3 linked regions of the Ovis aries genome follow. The protein of the gene in region 1 purifies or fractionates together with the protein of each later gene. This does not show direct contact. Links are inferred from orthologs where the notes say so. Each region holds a gene or a part of one and is shown on either strand. Other genes may lie near its edges.

The links. Proteins that work in one complex are often made in the same cells at the same time.
Region 2: the proteins of NTRK1 (region 1) and CDC37 purify together in Homo sapiens (affinity purification with mass spectrometry; 3 studies listed by BioGRID and IntAct, with this or other methods). This does not show direct contact. The link is inferred for Ovis aries from reciprocal best matches to the Homo sapiens genes NTRK1 and CDC37.
Region 3: the proteins of NTRK1 (region 1) and HSP90AB1 purify together in Homo sapiens (affinity purification with mass spectrometry; 3 studies listed by BioGRID and IntAct, with this or other methods). This does not show direct contact. The link is inferred for Ovis aries from reciprocal best matches to the Homo sapiens genes NTRK1 and HSP90AB1.

Annotation. Positions count from the first base shown.
Region 1 is NC_056054.1:106,801,813-106,806,116, reverse strand, and holds the start of NTRK1 (high affinity nerve growth factor receptor), read right to left. Parts: upstream 2,810-4,304; 5' UTR 2,793-2,809; coding exon 2,503-2,792; intron 1-2,502. UniProt on the Homo sapiens protein: Receptor tyrosine kinase involved in the development and the maturation of the central and peripheral nervous systems through regulation of proliferation, differentiation and survival of sympathetic and nervous neurons.
Region 2 is NC_056058.1:12,789,710-12,793,885, reverse strand, and holds the start of CDC37 (hsp90 co-chaperone Cdc37), read left to right. Parts: upstream 1-1,375; 5' UTR 1,376-1,470; coding exon 1,471-1,572; intron 1,573-4,176. UniProt on the Homo sapiens protein: Co-chaperone that binds to numerous kinases and promotes their interaction with the Hsp90 complex, resulting in stabilization and promotion of their activity. Inhibits HSP90AA1 ATPase activity.
Region 3 is NC_056073.1:17,733,383-17,737,431, reverse strand, and holds the start of HSP90AB1 (heat shock protein HSP 90-beta), read right to left. Parts: upstream 2,802-4,049; 5' UTR 2,702-2,801; intron 1,361-2,701; coding exon 1,214-1,360; intron 902-1,213; coding exon 695-901; intron 601-694; coding exon 441-600; intron 294-440; coding exon 160-293; intron 43-159; coding exon 1-42. UniProt on the Homo sapiens protein: Molecular chaperone that promotes the maturation, structural maintenance and proper regulation of specific target proteins involved for instance in cell cycle control and signal transduction. Undergoes a functional cycle linked to its ATPase activity.

The sequences.
Region 1 (4,304 bases):
CATGCCACCCTCTCCCCCTCAAAGCCACTGGCCCCTCCCCAGACTCAAGTATAAACCCCTCCATTCTCCGCCCCCCACCCTGGCATCTTTCAGCAAAGCAAGTGACAGGCATACAGGCTGTCAGTCAAGGACCCCTTGAGCCCCTCCCTGCCCCAGAGAGGAGAAAGGGGCCATGAGAGAAGGGAGTCAGAGTTGGGGATGTGAAGAGGCATCGACTGGCCGTCTCACACAGTGAGAGAGCAATGGGAAGGCTGGGGGTGGGGGTGGTGGCGCGGGTTGTGCAGAAAAACAAAGAGATAGCAAAACAGAGACACCTAGGAAGAGGAACTGACAGGAAGAGACTGGCAGAGAGACAGAGACAGACGAGAAGAAAGACTGATAAGCAAAGGGAGACAGAGAGATAAGCAGAGAGAGCCAGAGAAAGCAAGACAGTGGGGAGAGAAAGAAAGAAGTAAAAGCAGGCATGCGGGGCTGGGGGATTTCTGCTGCCCTGGGGCCCTGCCCAGCTTCTGGATCTCACACACCAGGGAGTTCCTGAGAAGTCAGCTGCCCTTGCAGGGCCACGTCGTGTCCCCCCACAATGCCCCCCACCCCTGCCGCACACACACAGGGGCTCCTGACTCACTGCCTGTTCTCAGAACTCTCTCCCTCTACCCTGTGCTTCCTCAGCCTGTGGGAACCAGGGCCAGCCTGAATGACCACTCCTCGCACATACACACACTGCCTGCCCTTCCCAGACTTGGCCCCTGCAGGACACCCAGGTGTCAGGTCATCAGTCCCCTGAGGTCTAGGGAGTGAATTCCAGTGACTCTGAGAGTTGGTCCCTGTCCTACCCACTCACCCCCCAGCTCCTGCCAAGAGAGCCTAGAGGTGTAGGGACCTCAGGAGTGGGTGAGGGACCCGGGGAGGGAGTGAGAAGGTAGGGTGGCCGAGCGTGTGCAAACTGTCAGGAAGCGTGCTCAAAGCTGCCTCATTCGTTCGGATTCATAATCAATCTGTCTATTCGAGTCCATTATCTCCTCGTTAGCTCTGCGGGTGAAGGAGGAGGAGGGGACCTTGCAGATGGAGGCAGGGGTTAGACTGCTGCCCCACCCAGAGGGGCAGCTCCACTCACACCCTGCATGGCTTCCAGCCCCCCGGCCCCGACCTGCCCACACTCCCCACTCCCACTTCCCCCCTGCTGGACCCACAAGGGGCTTGAAAGGGAATCAAGAAAAGAGAGTGCTGATGGGGACCATTCCAAAGCCTGGACCCTGCTTTGCAGACCCAGAGTGATAAATGCACAGGACTGGGGGTGGCAGTCTGGACTTCGGGCCTCCCTCCCATCATGCAGAAACCTAGGTCCAGACCAAGACAAGGCCATCTCTCCTCCCGGCCTCCCTAGGGCCATTAGGGAGCAAGATGGAGTACCTTCCCGTTAATTACCACAAGATACCCGAGTAACTCAGTGCCAATTATCGTAGGCTGCTCAAGTCACTTCCAGACATTGATAGCCCCTGCCACAGATACCTTTCAGCCTATTACTGCATGAGGCCAGGGTTCCTTGCCCACTGTCTAACCCCAGGCCTAATAGGAGGAGGATATTCTAGCAGGTCCTTTCTTCTTCTAGAAGTCTAGCTGGCCCCACCAGCCACATAGAATACTCAAGTATTTTCCAGGCACCATCATATGATACTTGAGTATCTCTAAGCCAATTATTATAGAATACTCCCATAAGTTTCACCAGTTGCTAAAAAGTACTTGAGTATTTTGTGACCAATTAATGCAGGATGTCAGAGCACTGCAAATGTTGAAGATTCCTCCCAGTTTCAGATCTGGAAGGGAGGAGAATCTCTCAGCAAGGGCACTGTCTCCCTATCCAAAGTAGGGAGAAAAGGGTGGTGAAGGAGATGGGGATGGGAGAGGGGAGCTTGGAGGGGCTCTCATTTCCTACCTCCAAATCAAGCTGTGGTGGGGAGGAGAGATGGTGGAAATGGGGAGAGGAGAGCTCAACCACCAAGCTATGGCCCCTCAGCGCCTCCCACCTATTTCAGTTCAATTTCCAATTCAAGAGAGAACAGCTGACTTTGCCTGGTCATGACAAGGAAGGGGGTACGGGAGGATTTATCCCTGGGAAAGGAAAATGGTAAAGGTACCATACTGGGGGTGGGGAATGTTCTCTGCAGATAACCGCCTTCTGTATAGGGCAGAGGGTGGGCTCCTGGCTGAGCTCCAGGAAGCTATTTCTAGAAGGCTGGGCTCTCTCGGATCTGGTCCACAGAGAGCCCCCCTTCCTCTCCTCGAAGCTAGCACCTAAGCTGCCCTAAGCCCAGCATCTAGGCAGTAACTGCGGAGGCTGTCAGGGCAGCAGAGGAAAACCAAGGCACAGCCGAGACTGGCTTGTGTTATCAGTCTCCCGCCGCACCCGCTCCTCCTGATATAGCACGCAAGCGGTGAGTCCGCGCCCACGGGGCACGGCCATGCCCGCCTGTCCCCGCGCCCCCTGGCTCGCCAGACACTCACAGCTCCGTCAGGTTCTCGGTGCCTGGCAGGTGGCGGAGGTTATCCAGGGCCCCCGGCCGGGTGCAGCGCAGCCCCGAAGGGCCGTGGGGGCAGCAGACATCGGGGCAGGATGCAGCGCCCGCAGATGCCAGCATCAACCAGGCCAGCAGGCTTCCCGGCCCTGTAGCCCGGAGGTGCCCGCCAGGTTGCCCGCCCCGTCCGCCTCGTAGCATCGCGACGGCGCCCGCCTCGCCGCGGCCGGGCAGCCGTCTGTGCGCTTGCAGCTGCCGCTGCCAGGCCTCCCCCGACATGTGCGCTGGGCGGTGTTAAAGACCAGCCGCCAGGAAAGGGCGGAGCCAGAGGCCCCCGCCCGGCCTCGCCCCGCCCCTTCTGTCTCCAACCCCGCCCTCTCCTCTTCTAAGTCGCGAACTCTGCCCCAACCCTTTTTCGAGGCCCCCTGCTCCAGCCTACTCCCCCAAGGTCCCCCAGCTCCAGTAGATGCGGAGGGGCAGCCTCAGAAAGCCTCAGAGGTGTCTGCTGGGAATGGGGCTATGGGAAGTTGATACATTATTTTTCCCAGCCTAAAGCCGCTGCATTTAGCTGGGAGGGGAGATGACTGAGCTTGGAAACCGTGGTAGCCCAGGTCATCCTAGCCAGCCCCCGGCCTCAGATCTCACTACGCATGGTGCGCGTACCTGAGGAAGTGTGCATGTCACTTGGGATAAATTAGGGGAAATACTCCCTAAACCCTAGAAAGAAATGGGGAGGGACTCCCAAGAAACCAAACGCAGGAGCTGGAGAAGGAAAAAGAGAAGAGACAGAAAGGGATGATGTCGCCCCCAAACAGCCGGAGAATGGAGACTCGGGAACGGAGACGCCGATTTCCAGGAGAGACCACAGGGTGGCGCTGGCGGCCCGCGCGCAAGGGGTGAGCTCCTCCGGAGTTGGGTGGGTGGGGGCGCAGTCTGCAGCCCCTCACTGGGCTGCGCCTGGCGACCCAGCGTCAGCCACTGACCCGGGCCAGCCAGCACTGGCCCTCAGGCAGGGTAGGGCCAAGCTGGGCTGGGCAGGCATCGATCGCCGCTCTGACAAGAGCATCGATTTCTGCGCGGAGAAATTAATAGATCTTCTCTTAGCTCCTCGGACTCGGGAGCCGCCCGCGGGCGGAGCTGGGGACACGTCGGTCCAGGGAGGCCGTGCACCCGGAAAGCCCCTGGTCCCTAGCACCAGCCAGAGGACGGGTCCCAGCCCCTTCACCCCGCGGGCCTCATGCCTGGGAAAGGGGAAGGAAGAGGAGTCCTGGGGGAGGGACTCTAAAGGAACCCACGAAGGAAGCCCTCCGAGGGGAGAATTTTCCCCACCAGGGCTCCAGAACACATCTTCCCCCCAATTCCCCAAGAAAGAGACAGAGACCGACCCACCGAGCAGCCCGAATTCAGGAAGGTGGCGAGACAGAGGCGGAGCCCACGGGGTGACTGCCCTTTCCACGACGATTTTGTTTGGAACCAAGGGACTTAACTGGGACAGAGCCTAGCGCCAAAAACCTCCTAAGCAGGCTGCGAGGGCCTCGGAGAAGCGAAGGGCTTGGCTATTCCGGAGACGGGTCGTATAACCGCCAGGTTTCAAGCTTAGTTTGTTACCCCGCAGGTGTCAAGGCAGCGGGTAGCAGAACTCAGAACCACCCGTTCCCCGGGGATGGGGGCTGCTTCCTGCCGCTCCGGCTAGCCGTGCACCCCACCTGGGAGAAGTCCTCAGGGGCGGGGGTGGAGGGACCCACCGCTGCTGCAGCGGGGTTGGGGGGAGCCCTGTTCTAGGCCTACCAT
Region 2 (4,176 bases), on another chromosome or scaffold:
TGAGATCGGGAGCCCCGCTGGGATGTAGGTCCGTGCGCGCGCGTACCCGGGCCTTGACGGCCGCTGTGATGCTGAACTGCCAGGGTTGGAGGAGGAGGAGGAAAGGGGGACTCCCCCGCCCCCGCCCGCCTACTCGCGGGTTTGAATGGACCGTGAGGGGGAGGGGCAGCGGCGGGCGGGCGCTTTTGTCCGGATGGCCCCACCCCTTCCCGGGGCCGGGGAATCCCCCACACCCCACCCATTTAAAGACCTTTACTCCTTCCTCTCCAGCGCCCCCCCAAACGCCTGCTTGGTTGGGGGGAGTCTGGAAGAGGCGCCCTTCACTCAAGTGGCTGAATCTCTACCCATTCTCCCTGTCCCCCGCCCTGCGCCCTTTAATCTGAGATAATCCTGGCCCTAGGCTGCAACGCAGCCTTTTATCCCGGTATCAAAGCGTGGGTAGGGATACATGAAAATGTGTGGCTGCGGTCGCCCAAGCTCAGTGTAATAGAGTTCTTAGAGTCTGGAACGAGGAAGGGGATCCCAGACGAAAGAGGGAGGGACTGCGAGGAGTCCCAGAGTACCTCGACGGAGAAAGACCCCCTGCGTGCGCACTTCCAAGCTCTTCCACCCCTCCCCCACCTGGCGCGGGGCACCCGCACTGGCCGCTAGTTAGACACTAGCGACACCCAGCGGATGCATGGGGAGCCGCCGTAGACAAGCTAATGAGGCCCGTTAAGTGCGGTCGGGTGATTCCAGAGGGGGCGTGTATGCGCGAATCCCCGCTAAGGAGTGGCAGAAGATGGGGGAGGCAAGAGGGGAAGCTGTGGTCCGAGCCAGGGAAACACCAGGTCTCAAGGCAGGGCCACATCGCCCCCATCTCGACTCCTCGAGGGCAGGGCCACAACCTTCCTTCACTTAGACCCTCCTAGAGCAGGGCCTTGTACCCCTTGTACTGGGAAGGTCCTTTCCCATCAGGCACCATCTCCAGGACAAAGTTAAGTCCCTCTTCACAAAAGACGGGAGCGAGGTCTTTTCGCCGAGGCCGAGCCCCAGTAGTGGGCTCAGGCTGACGTCACTGTGGCGTGGCTAAGAGGACAATCCTCTTTTTCAGTCTCGCCAACTGCCCCCTCTCCCAAGGCTGCCGTAAACGCCCACCGTGGGGTAGCGGGAGATGAGGGGGGCTCGAGGTTGGAGAACCCACCCGTAATTCCCCAGGAAGGGCCTAGTGGAGGCCGGAAGCCGGATGGGGTGAGGTCTCAGCGGACTCCCGAGAGCCGGAACACGTGCGCAGGGCTCTTTAAGAACTTGGTCGCCAGTGCCGCTGCTGAGGTTACTAAGGATGTGACGTCACGCGAGGGAGGGGTGTAAGCGTCAGGGCGGAAGCGGAAGGGGCGGGGCTCCGCGGGCTGTGTCTCAGTGCTGCCGCTGCCGCCGCCGCCGTCGCCGCCACCGCTACCAGAACCCTGGAGGGCTGGGCCCCGAGGCAAGATGGTGGACTACAGCGTGTGGGACCACATCGAGGTGTCTGATGATGAAGACGAGACGCACCCCAACATCGACACCGCTAGCCTCTTCCGCTGGCGGCACCAGGTAGAGCTCGCGCGCCCAGCCCCTTCCCCCACTCCCGGGACTCCGCTTCAGAGTTCTGACCCCCTGATACTGCCGGGGGGCCCCAGCCATTGATACCTGGGATTGCCCCCTACAGCCTGGACTTTCCGAATAGCCTAGGGTTCTTCGATTCAATTCCGGGGCCATAGAATTGCCGGGACCCCTGAGTTCCTTGCCCGCGATGCCGGCGCCGCCCCCCCCCCCCCACCCCCACCGCCCCGCGCTTCCAGTTTCTTCTTGAAACGCCAGGTTGACCTGTACGGTATATTTTTAGAATTTAGACTGCCAAGACAAGCTTTTGACGTGCCTCCCAATCCTGCTTGGGATCTTCCATTTACACCCAGATTTCTACCTCAGAATCTGGATCCTGAACCTAGTCGGGTACCCAGTTAAGATCTTGGCTGTTCCATGGCTCCTCCTAACCCCTGTGCTCAGTCGCTTCAGTCGTGTCCAACTCTGTGACCCCATGGACTGTAGCCCGCCAGGCTTCTCTGTCCGTGCGATTCTCCAGGCAAGAATACTGGAGTCGGTTGGCATTTCCTTTTCCATGGGATCTTCTCGATCCAGGGATCTTTTATGTCTCCTGCATTGGCAGGCAGGCTCTTTACCACTGGCCCCGTCTGGAAGTCCTCCAAAACCCTAGAGTTCCCAATAGTTTAAGTCTGTTCTGCGACCTGCTTTTCTGGATCCTTATGGTTCAGATCCAGAAGTCTTACTCCTCTGAATAAAATAATTCTGTCTTCCCCTGAGATTTCTGTTCCTGGCTTGGGACTCCAACCCACACCCAGGACCCCTCCCCTAGAACAAAGATTGGTACCCCCTCCCCCCAAGGCCCTCAGTCTCATCTAGGCCTGGAATTTTGAAACTTGGGTCCTGTTCAGAATGAACCACCACCTCCACCCTGATGGAGCCTCCAATTCCGGAGGCTCTTCTTTAGCCTCTGGTACTGTTAGACCCAATTTCCCATTACATCAGGAAACCCTACCCACGTGGCTTCCTGCCCAGCCAGAACCCCTGCCCCTCCTTGGTACCTCACACCCAGTCCCCGCCCACCCCCAAGACAGACTTCCAGTGGGAACCTTTGCCAGCTTCAGAATGCCACATTCAAACCCAAGTCCAGGACCCAAATCCATCCCATCTCCCTTCTGACCCAAACTTGGTGTGCTATTCTCAGACATCCACAATGACCCTGCTGTTACAAGGAACCCACCCATCCTGATTCCAGATTCACCGCCCCTTCTTTTATCTATTTTCCCCCAAATACAGACCCCCAGAATCCCAAGTCTGTATGTTCTTTCGACAACCTGCAACCCCCCCCCCCACCCCCGCAGCCGCTCAGCTGTGCTCACAGACCAACAGAATGGCTCTCCTGAGACCTTGTGTGCTAACTTCTTGCTCCACCAACTCAGAGCTCCTACACCCACATTCCAGGGGCTGCTTTGCTCTCACACTTATGGAATATACCTTCTAGAACTTTCCAGTTAGGAAAACCTCATTCTGTCTTCCCATGTATCAGCTTGCAGTTGTTTATCCAGAAACACCTAGAAGCGCCCTTCCTCATCCTGCTGAGACACAGTATCCGTGCCTACATCTAGTCCCAGTTCTGGGTCCAACCCATTACTTAAAGCAGCAGCCTCCTGGCTAGGGCTTCCCTGGTGGCTCAGATGGTAAAGAATCTGCCTGCGGTGCAGGAGACCCAGCTTCAATCCCTGGGTGGGGAATATCTCCTGGAGTAGGGAATAGTGACCACTCCAGTATTCTTGCCTGGAGGGAGAATCCCATGGACAGAGAAGCCTGGTGGACTACAGTCCATGGGGTTGCAAAGAGTCGGATACGATTAAGCGACTAACCCTTTCACCTGGCTAGTGTACCTGGTGGGAAAGCCACTGGAGTGGAAAAAGAAAGTTCTAGTATTTCTCTCTTGCCATATGTGACATTTTATGATGAAATATTGAAGCTCTCCGCAAAGCTTTAAAGCTCATTCTCGGGAACACCTATTCTTGTCACGAAGTTGATCTCTATCACCAGGTTTGGTCCTGCTGGTTTGGGAGGCCATGCCCGCTCTCATACAGCATCCTCCTCTCACCACGCCCTACTCCCTCCTGGCGCAAAACCTTTCCCTGTCCAACCGCTGAGGACCCAGGGCTGTCGTGGAGATGAGTGGAGGCAGGGAGCCTGGTGTCTCCAGCACGAGGTTCAGCTGCCAGTGACTGGCAGCCTGGGCTCCAGCCCTGCCACAGGACCATCACTGCTTTGGGGGAGCGAGCCCTCCGCCTCCATGAGACTGTCGTGAAAATGAAATGAGATTAGATCTTGAAAGAACTTGGCTCGGCGCCTGGGAGGAAAGAGTAAGCAATACCAAGAGTGGAAGAGGGGATTAGCCAAAAGGTAGCCTGGTACCCTTGTGAGCGCAGGCCTGCCCGACTGGGTTCATATCCTGCTCCTTCTGCATATCACTGACTTGCTGTGATCCAGTGAGGGTTTTTTTTTTTTTTTTTTTTTAATTAATTTGACCGCACAGGGTCTTAGTTATAGTGTGCTGGATCTTTAGTTGCAGCATGTGGAATCTATTAATAGTTCCCCGAC
Region 3 (4,049 bases), on another chromosome or scaffold:
AGCCTCATCATCACTGATTTCCTTCTCACGTTCTTTCTCCAGCTAGAAGTATCAAAGATGACAGTTTCAGAGTACAAAAAAGCAAAAAAAAAACCCCAAAGTCCATGCAATTCTCTCAAGCAGCAGTTACCTGCACTTGAGTTACCAGTCCATACTCACATAAAGTGTGATGGGATAGCCTATGAACTGAGAGTGCTTCTTCACCACTTCTTTGACCCGCCTCTCTTCCAAGTATTCTGTCTGGTCTTCCTTCAGGTGGAGAATCACTTTGGTACCACGGCCAATAGGCTCACCTAGAAAAAAATTAATCAGAACAGAATATAAGAAACTAAATAAACAAACGCAGAACTATAACTGCTTTACACATACAATACTCAAGATCTTCATTAGTGTTTCCCCAGAATGCTAATCCAGACACCTTAACAGGAAAGCCAACTTACCATGGTCAGCCCGGACAGTGAAGGAACCCCCGGCAGAAGACTCCCAAGCATACTGTTCATCATCATTATGCTTTGTGATCACCACCACTTTCTCTGCCACTAGGTAGGCAGAGTAGAAGCCCACACCAAACTGCCCAATCATGGAGATGTCTGCACCAGCCTGCCAAAAAGTTTAAAAGTCAAACTCAAGTTTCAAAGAAATGGCAAAGCAAACACCAATAATATAAATGGAGTGTGCCTAACCAACCACGTACCTGAAGAGCCTCCATAAATGCTTTAGTGCCAGACTTGGCAATGGTTCCCAAATTATTTACAAGATCAGCTTTGGTCATGCCAATGCCCGTGTCTACCAGAGTCAGAGTACGCTCCTGGGGATTCGGGATGATGTCAATTTTCAGCTCTTTACCACTGTCCAATTTAGAAGGGTCTGTCAGGCTTTCATAGCGAATCTTGTCCAAGGCCTGAAAGTACAAAATTGCAGTTTTACAATTCTGCTTCCTCAAAACCCATCTCACCCAAAAAGTTTTTTAAACTCCCCAAATACGCTAATTCTGATTACTCCTTTAGCTTGTAGGTTGAGAACGACATCCAGTGGGTTACAGTATCCCATCTATCCACAGAGAGCAAGGCAATACTTTTTGGAACAGCAGTTAAGTTTATATCCCCCCTTTATCAGTTAACACCACAAAATGCCAAACCACCCCCACTTTCCCTCTCTTGGAGTACTTGAGAAACAAAAAACCAACGTCAATGAAGACATTCAGGGCACTCACATCAGAAGCATTACTGATCAACTCCCGAAGAAAAATTTCCTTGTTGGAATAGAAGGTGTTGATAATAAGAGACATGAGTTGGGCAATTTCTGCCTGGAAGGCAAATGTCTCCACCTCCTCCTCTCCATGGTGCACTTCCTCAGGCATCTAAAATAAAAAGCAAGAATTTAAGACTCCTCAAGTTCACCCTCAGCCACAATACACTTAAGGAGACTCTATTCAAACTGTTTTGAGCTGGGTACAAAGACTGGAAAATCCTTCCCTCTATCAATTTCAGGCAGCACCCTTAGAAACAACGGGGGGAGGGGCGCACCTAACACACTGAACAAATTGCGCTAATGTTTCTTGCAAGTTATTGTGAACCCAAACTCCTGTTAAGTGAATCATAGATCAGCACAATCTAGTTAGGCACTCCAACCCAGGTATCTCGAAAGCGAGGTAAATTCCCATATATTTAAATACGCAAATTACTATCGTTCCACCTTCAAAGTAATTAGTTTCACATTAAAGGGCAATCATTTAAAACTGTCCTCCCATTAGGTAACTCCAAGGAGATAATGTGGTACTGCTGCCTCCCGTAGTAGGGACAGCTAACTCGAGATTGGCGGAATGCCCATCCAGGTGGGCTATCAAGACAAAGAACCGATAAAGAAAGGGCTCCATCGTGACCTCTCTGCACACGTGACTGAAGCTCAAGCCCAAACCAAACACTAAGATGGTGGCCTTAGTCTGCGGGGCCGACTCTCGTCACGGCTGGACATGCGTCGACCACGCGAGGAGGGGGCGCCACCGCGCAGCCTCCCTTCGCCCCAACATCCGGGCACCAGGGCGGGGCGCCGGGCTCCAGAAGCTTCCAGAACAATCTCAGTTCTCGGAGAGGGGCGGGGGAAGGGACGTGCCCACGAATCCCAAAGCCTGCCCCCTCCGCTCGCCAGCCCCTCCTCCACCGAGACGCAGGAAAGATCTGGAAGGATGGAGGAAGCACGACATACGCCGCCGGCGACCGAAAACGGAGCTCTTCGCAGAGCCTCACGGAAAAGCCCCGAAAGAAAGGACTTTAAAAAAATTGTGTCCGATAGAACAAGTGGCAAAACCTGGTCATGACCAGCCTTGCTGAGTCACAGAGGGCGCGCCCACCCGCCCGGCTCGGGGACCCTCCGGCGCCCCGTAGCCGCGTCCGGAAGTGGAGAGGCAAACATGGCAGCGTCCCGGGCCGGCGCGGCCACCACGTGCAGTGCCTACCCCCCCGCCCCATTCTGCGGCCCCACGAAACAACGCTTTATAGCTGCGGGAAAGCAGCCCCGCCGCCAATCACATAGAGTCTAAACTCAAAAGCTCGCTCCCAGCCCTCCCCCAAGAGAAGCAATGGGAGCGTTACGCCAGAACCGGTCCCAACACGAGATGTAGGTCTCGGAAAGGATGCGTGGGCCGAAAGCAACGCGAAAGAACAAGCTAATCTGAAAAGCCCAGATGAGACAGGAGCCTTACCTTCAAGGATAACAATCACAGGTATTAGAGAACACCGAGCAGGCAATGGCTTCCTCGGGCTCACTCGCCACAAGAAGGCTGCGCGGGGGTGACTCGAGAGAACGGCTGTGTGCCCCCAATCACTTTATATAAGGCGAAGCACCGCCCAGCTGCCCGCCCCCGGATCCCTCCGCCTTAAAGGAGGATGCCTGTCTGCCGCGCACCTGCCGCCGCCCGCCCGCCCACCTTGACGTCACGGTCCAAAATAGGGGAGGGGACCTTGAAAGGCGGGAGCCGCCGGCCTTGAGATCAAGTACACTTATTTACTCCTGTTCACAGCCCCGTCTCCGCGTTCCTAAAACAGGACACCATCAGAAACATATGTTGGGAGTAATCATATAACATAAACGGTGGAACTAGAAGCGAGGATTCCCCACTGACCTCTGTGAAAACCTGCAGGGCAGGCATCTCCACTCCTGACAGTCCCAGCCTCGGGACTAAGGTCCAAGCCTAAACAGGGGTCACCCACTCCCCCCTACGCTCCGAGGCTCGACCTCCTCATTAGAAGCTGCCCTACACATACTCTAATTGCCTGATACGGGAAAGGGTTCTTTTCCGCGGGCGTTGCGGAATTAAAGGTCCCACTTTGTGGGCATGCCTGGAATACAGGCCCTCCCGCGGCGGGCCGGCGTTTCGCGGCGAGGCGTGGCTCCGGCTGCGGGCCGGGCGCTGGCTCCAGCCGGCCAGGGGACTCTTTGACTGCACACGCGGCGGAAGGATCCAGGGCGGCGGCGCTGCGACACTTCCAGCAGCTTCCAGACCGGCCGGGGCGGCCCTGCCCCGCCCCTTCCCTTGAGGCCCCGCCCCGCCCTCTGCGGCCTGGGCTGTGCCTCCGCGGTGGCTCCGCCCCTCAACCGCACTGCTGGGATCCTGGTGTCCAAGTAGGCTATACCTTCATTACATTTCCTCCAGGAAACTGCAGAGGGGATCCATTACCCTACCCGCCAGACCCAGCTAGCCGGGCACTGCGTCCGGGTGGGGTGGAGCGGGGATGACCCCACTTCTCCCCCCATCGATCACACAGCACACCGGCCGGTGGGGCGGCTCTGAGGGTGCCGCCTTCCGAGAGCAGACACTGGGGATGCGGTCGCTTACCCGACGGACCGCTCCCACCCCCAACCCCCAGCCGCCCACAGGTGAGGGAGCGCAGAGACTTGAATATCGAGTTGTTTCTCAGTCTGGCTTCCTTTTTCTTTTTTTTCCCCACCCTCTTCCCTCCTCCTGCAGCTGCCTAGATCTGGGAAGAGTCCGGTCTCCCAGGACTCCTGCAGGGTGGCAGGAGTTCTTGGAGGCAGCATGAGGACGCTGG